Linked DNA regions of Drosophila melanogaster. The protein of the gene in region 2 interacts with the protein of the main gene of each other region in a pairwise test. Each region holds a gene or a part of one and is shown on either strand. Other genes may lie near its edges.

The links. Proteins that work in one complex are often made in the same cells at the same time.
Region 1: the proteins of CG10274 (region 2) and CG8173 interact in a two-hybrid assay, tested with the Drosophila melanogaster proteins (one large-scale study listed by BioGRID).

What each region holds. Positions count from the first base shown.
Region 1 is NC_004354.4:17,706,871-17,711,615, reverse strand, and holds CG8173 (uncharacterized protein), read left to right. Parts: upstream 1-1,962; 5' UTR 1,963-2,174; coding exon 2,175-2,434; intron 2,435-2,968; coding exon 2,969-3,327; intron 3,328-3,403; coding exon 3,404-3,981; 3' UTR 3,982-4,215; downstream 4,216-4,745.
Region 2 is NT_037436.4:6,178,082-6,183,611, reverse strand, and holds CG10274 (uncharacterized protein), read left to right. Parts: upstream 1-1,782; 5' UTR 1,783-1,844; coding exon 1,845-2,763; intron 2,764-2,817; coding exon 2,818-3,431; intron 3,432-3,496; coding exon 3,497-4,555; 3' UTR 4,556-4,935; downstream 4,936-5,530. Other genes in the region: D19B, read left to right, coding at 1-1,195; CG7376 (uncharacterized protein), read right to left, coding at 4,968-5,130, 5,187-5,347, 5,405-5,530.

The DNA.
Region 1 (4,745 bases), on a different chromosome or scaffold from region 2:
ACATTTGTTTTCCGACGGTGGGCACTTTTGGGTACCATTATTTGTCTTCAATTGTTTCCCTTATCTCCTGGTACTATTAACTTTTAAAGTAATCTTAGTTTTGAGTTTGTAATTAAAAATCCAGGGGATAGTTATAGAAAACTATGTTTATGTAGCTATTCCTTATTTAGACAGGGCTTCAATAGGATCAATTGGATGAATTAACCAATCATTTAGTTTAAGGGTATGACAATATCTTAATCTTTAAGGTTTAAGAGAAAGAGATAATCGTACATTGAAAACCATTAGGTTCGATAAAAGGGACCAGATTACAGCATCCCCGCTAACTAACTTTATGGTTCATTAAACTTTAGTTTCATTAAGTTCATTTAAGTTCATTATTATTGAATGAGGTTACACTACAACCCTATATTTCACTTATAAAACATAAATTAGAGAGATATTCACTATGAAGTCTATGATGTTATATGTATGTACATATGTAACTCCCACTCACCGCAGACATCCAGCCATCCTTCGATTCTGCTGGGGTAGGAAATCGTTGAGGACCGGCTTAAATACGTTCGACGTCCCATTTTGTGGGGGTGGTAATTTTGTGGATTTGGTTTGGGTGGATGCTGTGTTCTCACTCTCTCGGCTTTTCTCTCGCGCGCTCTCTGTCGAGCGCTCTTCTCCCCTTTTTGGCTCTCGCACTTATCGTTTAGCTTATCGACTCGGCTCGTTGAGTTGTTGTTGTTGGTGCTGCTGCTTAATTTGAATATTGATTTTGTTTGTTCTTGCTGTTGTTGTTGTTGTTATGGTTTTTATTGCACTTGTGCCTTATGGCGATTTTGGGGGTTATTGTAAAACAAAAGATTAAAGCAAGATTTGTGGCAATTTCAAGAGCAGGTTGCCGCCGCCTTTGTTGTAGTTATTGTTATTATTTGATTTTTAACGATTTCGTTTCCAATTCCACTCTTTGTTTTAATCACCATATTTCCTCTCTCGCTACACCTGATTTTCGATGTTTTTGGCGTTTTTCGCTGTTTTTTCGCCGTAACAGCTGAGTGGCATTTTTGCGGCTCCTCTTTTCGTTTATATTTTCGGTTTCTTCTTTAGTTATTCATGTTTTTTGTTGTTGTTAACACCAGAAACCAGTAAAGAAACTTTATTTTGCACCTTACATACGCGTGTGTGTGTGCGTGCGCGTATATTTAATTCTGGTGTTTTGTATTATTTTTAAATCACGAACTCCGCCAAGCATGTGTATATTTCGGTTTTTTTATGTTTGTGTGCGTGTGTGCCCGATCCAGAATATTAACGGAGTTGTTGTTGCTGTCGCTTTGTGTTTTTTGGATGTGACACCCTCCCACACCGCACGCGAAAAAATAAAACAAAAAATTTTAAAAAACCCGCGGTCTGGATTTTCACACACGTCCGCTTTCGAATCGCCGCGCTTGTGTGCGATTCCACTGGTGTTTCTCCACAGACTGCCGCCTCTCTGCACTCCTCTTCTTTATCGCATCTCTGCTTTGGCACGGCTTTCGCGCCAATTGTTGGTGTGAAAATAATACCAACGAAATGCGGTACTTCTGTGTCGGTTGCTGTCTGGGTAACACGCACCTGTATGGGTTCGCGTCTTGGCTAAGTGTCATATATTTAATTTAAAGCTTAACGGTACAAAACGACCGGTATTAACATGGAAAATAGTGTTGCTAACTTTTATATATTAAAAACGGATATTTGTTGGCCTTGTATTAGGTACTCCATCCAATTTCGTTGCCAACATTATGGAACTGGATTCTATTTCTTATAATTCGTAGTTAATTGGAATTTATAAGGAGCAATTTGAATGCCAACGACTAAATATTTAGTACTGCACGCCGGTCCACTATTCAGTGTGACCAGTCGCACAGCGCCCTAGAACAGCAGGCGTGTGTTTTGTTTTTCAGTTACTTCAGACGGAAGTTTATAAGCTATTACTTAGTAGAGTTTGAGTGCTCTACAAGGCAGTAACAAGAACATTGCGCTTAGCATCTATTTTGCGATTAATTCCAGTCAAAAGAGACGCCACGGTCACTCTATCGCCTAGGACCAAACACAACACCAACACTGTTGCATTCCATTTACAGTTTAAACGGTGTTTTGTGCGCGTCGCTTTAATTTTGGTTTAATTGAATTTTACTATTGCTGCGATGGACACGCCACGCCGCAAGCTAAGAAATTTGCACCTGGAGAATGTCCAGAACAGCAGCACTCCCATCAACGTGCCGCCATCGCCGATGATGAAGACCCTGGGCCACGGCACTGGGATCCGGGTCTACCGCTTGGACCGCTCGCCTCGTCTCGGCGAAATCCGCTCGCCCTGGGCCGTCAAGCGGATCACGCAGAACATGCGGGTCAAGAAGGATACACTCTTCAACGAGCGAATTGTTCACGAGGCCGATATCCTGCGGTAGGCTCATCCAAATCCAGAAGCCCAATCAAATTGGCAGTATGTGTCGGTGTCCTGCGTGTGGGTGCATGTGTTTGTGCGTGTGCGGATGCTGAATGTGCGTGTGTGCTAGGGTGATCCGATATGTGGGTCAGCAATTCATTAGGGTGGCCCACAGCTGAGCAGCTGCAGTCCATGCTCGCTAAAATACCCCATTGTAATCTAGGCTCACTTCGAATTGAATAGATCATCCTTAAATTCCAGCTTAAAATGTTATTTTGCATATATCCCATCTTTTAAACAAAAGAATCTTTATTAGATTACAAAAATTATAGCATTACCAAACAAAATATTCCAAGTAAGATCCTAAGTCATCGCACTTCAGCCGGGAAACTCAATACTAGTAAATAAAGCTATTATTAGATGTACATAGTTTTTGCTTCCAATGCATCGAGTTACCTACAGGTGACTGCGTAAAATGTGCATTTTTTATACACACTACGCAGGATTGCTGTAATAATTGCCCCCTATAAACAGCACCTTTTGACTTTACAGCAAACTGAAGCATCCAAACATCGTGGGATTCCGTGGCGTTATCACCAATGACGAGGGCATCAACACACTGGCACTTGAAATGTGCACCACTTCACTGGGCTCCATACTCGAGGAGCGACACGACGAGGATCTGGGCCCGTTGCCGGCCAAACATACCTATAAGATGATCATGGACGTGGCCCAGGCACTAGACTTTCTTCACAACGAAGCTCACCTCATGCACGGCGACCTTAAGTCCTTTAATGTCCTGGTCAAAGGCGAGTTTGAGATTTGTAAGCTGTGCGATTTTGGAGTCTCTCTTCCGCTGGACGAGCAGGGCGAGGTTAATTTCCTAAAGAATCCCGGACTGCGCTATGTGGGTGAGTTTACTGACCCCATATGATATAAATAATTTCACATTCAGTCAAATTAACCACTTATGTCTTAATATTTTAGGAACTAACCTCTGGTGCGCACCGGAGGTCATAGACGAAGTGGATGTTATTGACAGCAAGGCAGACATATTCAGCTTTGGCCTGGTTATCTACGAAACCCTTGCTTTGGTGCCTCCACATACCTTGGAGCTTGATGCAGCACTGGGAGAGGATATGGACAGTTCGCACGATTTACCCACCGACACGGACAAGCTGCAGTGCAAACAGTTGGACTTCTCCAGCGATGAAAACAAGAACGGACTACCTTCTGCAATGGAAGAACACACAGACAACGATATGAGTCAAGATTATGACGAGGAGGATGATGAGGAGGAGAAGGAAGAGGAGGAGGAAGACGATGAAGAAGATGATGACACGAAGGAGAACGATATCTCTTACTTTACACTGAATAACCTTCATTCCGCCTATGGTACACGACCACCATTGCCAGTGGCCTTTCAACTTAGCGACGATTACAACTGCGTCGTGGAGCTGTTTTATCTGTGCACAAATGCTCTCAGCGAGGATCGTCCAGCGGCCAAGACCATTTGGCAGTGCCTGGAGAACAATGGCGCAAATGTTGCGACAGAAAGCGATTAGACTGATAATCATTCTCAGCCTCCGAACTCCACAATCTTCCTCTTGAATATAATTTGATTAGATGACTCATTTTTGTTTTGAATGTACAATTAATTAGCTATAATTTTTACCCTGTAAGAACAAACCAATTACGGTTAAAGCCCCAAAACGCGAATGCACACTTAAGCAAATTGTACATATTCAGCAAGCAAAAGAGTGGTCGAATAAATCGAATCCCCAAATGGAACAAAAACTATATCGTTAACTGGTTTTTTAATTCGCAGTCTTCAAAAGGGTATATGTAAGATCTTTTTTGATTAAGGCCCGGCTAATGTATTTAAATTGATTTTTGTAAGCTAAAAATAAGTGAAAGCAATTCAGTTGAATTGAAAAGTATTGCTTACAGAGGGAAACAATTTTTTCGTTTATAAATGCAGGAACCGAATATCATTTTTAACTTTTTTGTATACTTTAACGCCTCGAATTGGTTGTGATATAAACAATAAACTTACATTGTTTTGCTATAGCCTCCCAGGAAAAAACCAATTACACACCAGATCGGTTACAAGTTCTCTTAGGTTTATTAAAAAATAATAATACATACATCAAAATATAAGGTTTTCTTTCGTGATTTGCTTTTCGGTCTTTTCAGTTGCTTAGCGGGAATACACATTAGCTTTTGTATATATATATATATACATGCGTTTGCTTGGAAATCGGGATATTCTGGCGACTTTTGTTCGATGTAAGTTCAGATTTCTCGATAATGCAAGGGTATATGTGAA
Region 2 (5,530 bases):
ATGTGAAATTTGCGGCAAGCGCTTCCCCATCAATAGTGTGCTGCGCGACCATCTGCTGCGCCATGCGGGCATCAAGAACCATGTGTGCCCGTACTGCGGAGTGGGCAAGACGACGCGCCAGGAGTGGAACAAGCACATCCTTACCCACACGAAGGAGAAGAAGTACGAGTGCCGGCAGTGCGACCACGCCTCCCACAACAAACAGGCGCTGGCCAACCACGTGAAGGTGGTGCACGAGAAGCGCAAGGACTTTGCCTGCCAGTACTGCGGAAAGACCTTTGGCAAGTCGCACGCCTGCAAGATTCACGAGAGAAGTCATACCGGCGAAAAGTGCTGCGAGTGCAAGATCTGCGGCAAGGTGTTCCTCTTCGAGAAGGGCCTAACCAAGCATTTGAAGACGCACGAGAAGCGTGATTTGCCCAAGACGCAGGGGACCAATGCCTTAATGGGCGACGGGGCCAGTGGATCCTCGACAATAGCCAAGCCCAGTCCGCACCTGCGTGGTCGCGTCGAGCGGGTGGACATTGCTCAGTTGGCGGGAACGGTGGCCAATCCAATTCCATCGGTCAACCTGCCCTCGTGGTCGCCGCAAGTGAACTTCACCAAGAAGGAGGGCCAGCATATCTGCCCGGACTGCGGCAAGGGCTTCAATCACGTGAGCAACATGAAGCTGCACTACAAGGTGGTGCATCAAAAGGTCAAAGACTTCTGCTGCCGCTTCTGCCCGAAGAGATTCGCCAAGAAGCAGTACCTGCGGCACCACGAGTACATACACACTGGCGAAAAGCCTTACGAGTGCAAGGTGTGCGGCAAGCATTTCCGGCAGGAGCAGGTGCTCAAGACGCATATGAAGGTGCACGACAAGCCGCCCCGTCCGCCTGGCAAGCCCAAGGAGCCGGCTGGACCCAAGGCGGAGTCCAGCACCGCGGTGAAGCGCCAGCAGCCGAAGAATTTCGAGCAATACCAGGATCCGGCGGCGGAAAGGGCAGCGGCCACCGCCGAGCTGCTGGCCTACCAGATCGAGGAGAACGAGGCCAAGCGCAAGGCGGAGGCGGAGCTCCGGAAGATCCAGGAGGCTGCCTTCGAGCAGCTAAACAAGCTGCAGAAGCAGTCGAACACTTACGACGGCTTCTACGCGCAGAAGGCGGAGGCGGAGGGCACCTCAGTGGACGCACTGAAGTTGGATCATGTTTGAGCGGCAGAATCAAACGGAAATGCTTGCGAGCAAACCCGGCCTCCGTTTCCGATCATTTCATTATGTGTTTCTATGAAGGACATATGAGTTATAGTTCTCTAAGGATTACCAACTAGTTTTCGTCACTTTGCAATTTGATCTTTTTTGTATTTAAATCCCCCCTTTAAACTGCTTAAGTTTGTACTTTACTAATTGTATTCATTTAACAATGATTTAATATAATAAACAGTAATAAGTATTGAACATTTGAATTTTAAATTCGCCCCAGTGCTGGTAAGCGGGTATTGTTGGTAAACAAGACAGAGGTGAGCTGTAATGCTGCCAACTCGTCTGTTTTTTAGCTACATTCCACTAGCTATGCAACTTATATGAGACACATATAAAACTACGTATTTAATTTAGGTTAATACATACATTTATTAAGAATCACACTTAAAATGGCACATATTTTTTAAAACATTTGAAATTTGTTATTGATGCTATCCATATTTCTAGCCGGTTTAATAATTTAGCTATTAAATAACTGTTTGTACTTGGCATCACTGTGGGGTATTTTTTGGTATTTGTTTTGGTTCGTCTGACGCGTAAAGTTTTTCTCGGCTTAATATTCCGCGGATTTGGCCAGCAGATTCCCCCTGGAACAGGCATCATGCAGGAGGAGGCCGAGGCAGCCCAGTACTCGGTGCACGCGGTGTGCCGCATCTGCCTGAATCGCCTGCCGGAGAATGGCGGCGGCGCAGGATCCTTTGACCTGTTCCTGATACCCGGATTGGCCAAGAAACTGTGTGTCTGCACTTCGCTGGCCGTGGAGCAGTCGGATGGCTTCCCCAAGTGTCTGTGCGCGCAATGCTTCAGCCGGCTGGACGATATGCACGAGTTCCAAAAGCTGTGCGTGGACTCGGTGCAAAAGTTCCAGGACATGGTGGCCAGGAACGTCTTTTGCCCGCCAGCGAGTGCGCAGATGAAAAACTTTGATTTGCTCAACGTGGCGGGGAACGAGCCTGAGCTGGTGGGGCAGGACGAGGAGGATCGTATCAACTTCGATCCGCTACTGGATCACAAAATGGAGATGATCGAGAACGAGGAGGATGTGTTCAAGATGTTGGAGCACGTGGACAAGGAGGCCGAGCAGGTGGAGAAGGAAGTGAAGCAAGATGAATTGGACGCCGCCGATCTGATGACCATCTTTGCCGCGGAATCCTCGGAGGAGAGCGAAGAAGATATTGACCAAGATGTGGACTTTGAGCCCAACAGTAGCGATGGTGACGATGATGTGCCTTTGGCCCAGCGCTTACGGGATAATTCGCGGATGATACCAAAAGCAAAGGCAGCCGTAATTAAGGAAGAGGACCAAGAGTTCCCAACAGGCTCCGAAGAGGAGGACGAGGACGGAGAAAAGTCAAAGAGTCGACGCAAGAGGATTCCGCCTGGCGAACGGCACCTGCACCGCATCATTGACTGCCACATTTGTCACCAAAAGTTCAAGAAGGCCATCCGCTACGAAGAGCACATGAAGCACCACAACGACCTGCTGCCCTTCCAGTGCAAAGTGGAAACCTGCAGGAAAGGTGTGTAATGATGGCTCCAAATCGCATTCTCGTTTTGATCACTGGCATTTACAGGTTTCACCACCGCTGGAGGATTACGACTTCACATCGACCACGCCCACACGGAGCTATCCGAGGTGCACTCCTGCAATGTCGATGGCTGCGGCAAGACCTTTCCGCGCATACGCCTGCTCACCTTTCACATGAAGAAGATGCACGGCATCACCAAGGCAGCGGCGCCCCCACGGGATTACCCTTGCACCGAGTGCGAGAAGGTATTCCGCTGTCCCATGGCGCTCAAGAAGCACATGTACAAGCACGACGGCAAGGAGTTGCCTTTCCCCTGTAACATCTGTGGCAAAAGGTTCGTAATCAATAGTGCTCTAAAGGATCATCTGATGCGGCATGCGGGCATTAAGAACTACGTGTGTCCGTACTGTGGCGTGGGAAAAACCACCAGGCAGGAATGGAACACACACATACTGACGCATACCCAGGAGAAGAAGTTCAAGTGCCACATATGCGAGCACGCATCGCACAATAAGCAGAGCCTGGCCAACCACATTAAGATCGTGCACGAGAAGATCAAAAACTATGCGTGTCAATACTGTGGAAAGACCTTTGGCAAGTCACACGCCTGCAAGATCCACGAGATGACGCACACGGGGGAAAAGCGCTGTGAGTGCAAGGTAAGGGTAGAAAGATATTTTAAGCCAGCGTCGTCATTGCAACGTTTTGTTTTTAATATTCTTAGGTTTGTGGAAAGAAGTTTCTCTATCCTAAGAGTCTGACCAAGCACTTGAAGACTCATGAGAAGCGTGTGCTTCGTGCTATTGAGACCTACCGCCAGCGGCAGGTGGAAATGGGCGAGACGCCTGGTGAACAGTTCGACAATCCACCCGCGCCACCAGTTGAGGGCATATCCATTGAGCCGATCATGTCCCGAAACGCTGCCGACGAATTGCTTAAGGTGTGCGCCGAATCCGTGGCCACCATTCCCAAAGATCCACGCCGTGTACAACGAGTGGATCTGGCGCAGTTGGCTGGCACTGCTGTGAACCCCATACCCTCTGTTTCAGTGCCGTCGTGGTCGCCGCAGGTGAACTTTACCAAGAAGGAGGGCAAACATATCTGCCCCGGTTGTGGTCAGGGATTCAACAATATCGGAAACATGAAGCGGCACTATAAGATCATCCACGAAAAGGTCAAAGATTTTGCCTGCCGCTTTTGCCCCAAAAGATTCGCAAAGGCTCAAACGTTGAGGCATCACGAGTGGATTCATACGGGCGAGAAACCCTTTGAGTGCAAGACCTGCGGCACCCATTTCCGCCAGGAGACGGCGCTGAAGCGCCACCAGCGCACCCACGAGAACCGTCCACCCGTCATTTCGCCCAAGTTTTATGCCGCTCGCGAGGAGCTGGAAGAGCAGGAACGCAGCAAGCGAGAGGCGAAGCGCCAGGCGGATGCGAAGCGGCGCGAAATTGCGGAGGCGGCCAAGGAGCAGCTATCGTCGCTGCACAAGCTTGAAAGTAGTGACCGCAGCCTGCACTCCTACGATGAGTACCAGGAGGCAGCGGCGGAGCGAGCAGCGGCATCCGCTGAACTCCAGGCGCAGCAGTTTGAAGAGAACGAAGTAAAGCGACTGGCGGAGGAGGAGCGCCGCAAGGTTCAGGAGGCTGCCTACGAGCAACTGCAACTGTTGCAGCATCAGCAGGAGGTTGACAAGGCGCAAAGCTCCTACGATGGCTACTACGCTCAAAAAGCACATGCCGATGGCACCACTTTGGATGCTTTAAAAATCGATCATGTCTGAGATTTGGCCAGCGTTTAACGCTGTCACAGATGGTAAATCAATCCTGGGTTTTTTTTATGAAAAGCAATACCTTATAATCCTTATGAGAACAGTGTGTGTAAGATGGATATGATATAGTTTTAAGCTGAAAATATTCTTTAATACTATTTAATATAATGTCCTTAACTGTAGTACAAATAATACTGTACATTATTCAGGAGAACACAGAATACCTATGTGAATTCGACTTAAGTTTAATGATTCTGGTCTGAATGGAGAGGTTGCATGTCAAATATCATCTTTTCAATAGATGAATTGATTGTGGCAGTTATATATTTATATATAAAGATTGTTTATAAGTAGCTTAAAAAATAAATTTGCCCTATTAAGAGCTTAAATCTAATCGGAATTTTTTGTTTTAAATTCATAAGTTTTACTCCTCCTTGAGTATGAATAGCTTCTTAAGGCTGTCTAGTGTCATGTTCTCCAGATCCCAGTGGGTCGACAGCGTAGTCGTGTCATCGGCTGAAGTAATTAGCGATAGAATATTCTCCTCAATCGTTTCATTCACAATGAAACGATGCACCTTCGTGGGTCTAAAAACAATTGTATTGAAACTGACAGCAACTTCACTTCAATAGCGCGCACTCACCTCTTTTGCCCAAATCGGTGAATACGACCTATGGCCTGGCGCTCGTCTCCCGGATTTAGAATGGGTTCGACGAGGAAAACATGTGTGGCTTCGATCAGGTTCAAACCCTTTGAGCCTTTGGACAGTGGCATTAGTAGACAGGTAACATTGCTCAACGGATTCTAAAGGAGGAAAAATGTTTAGCAGTGATAAATTAAATTTAACAGCAAGATAAAAACCTTGAAATCATCAAAGTCCTTATTTGTGCACTTATTGCGGAATTGAATGCCGTTGAGACTGAGCGCTCTGGCAATTTCAATGAGAATCGCCTGCCATTGAGAGAATACAATAATCTTTTCCTGTTC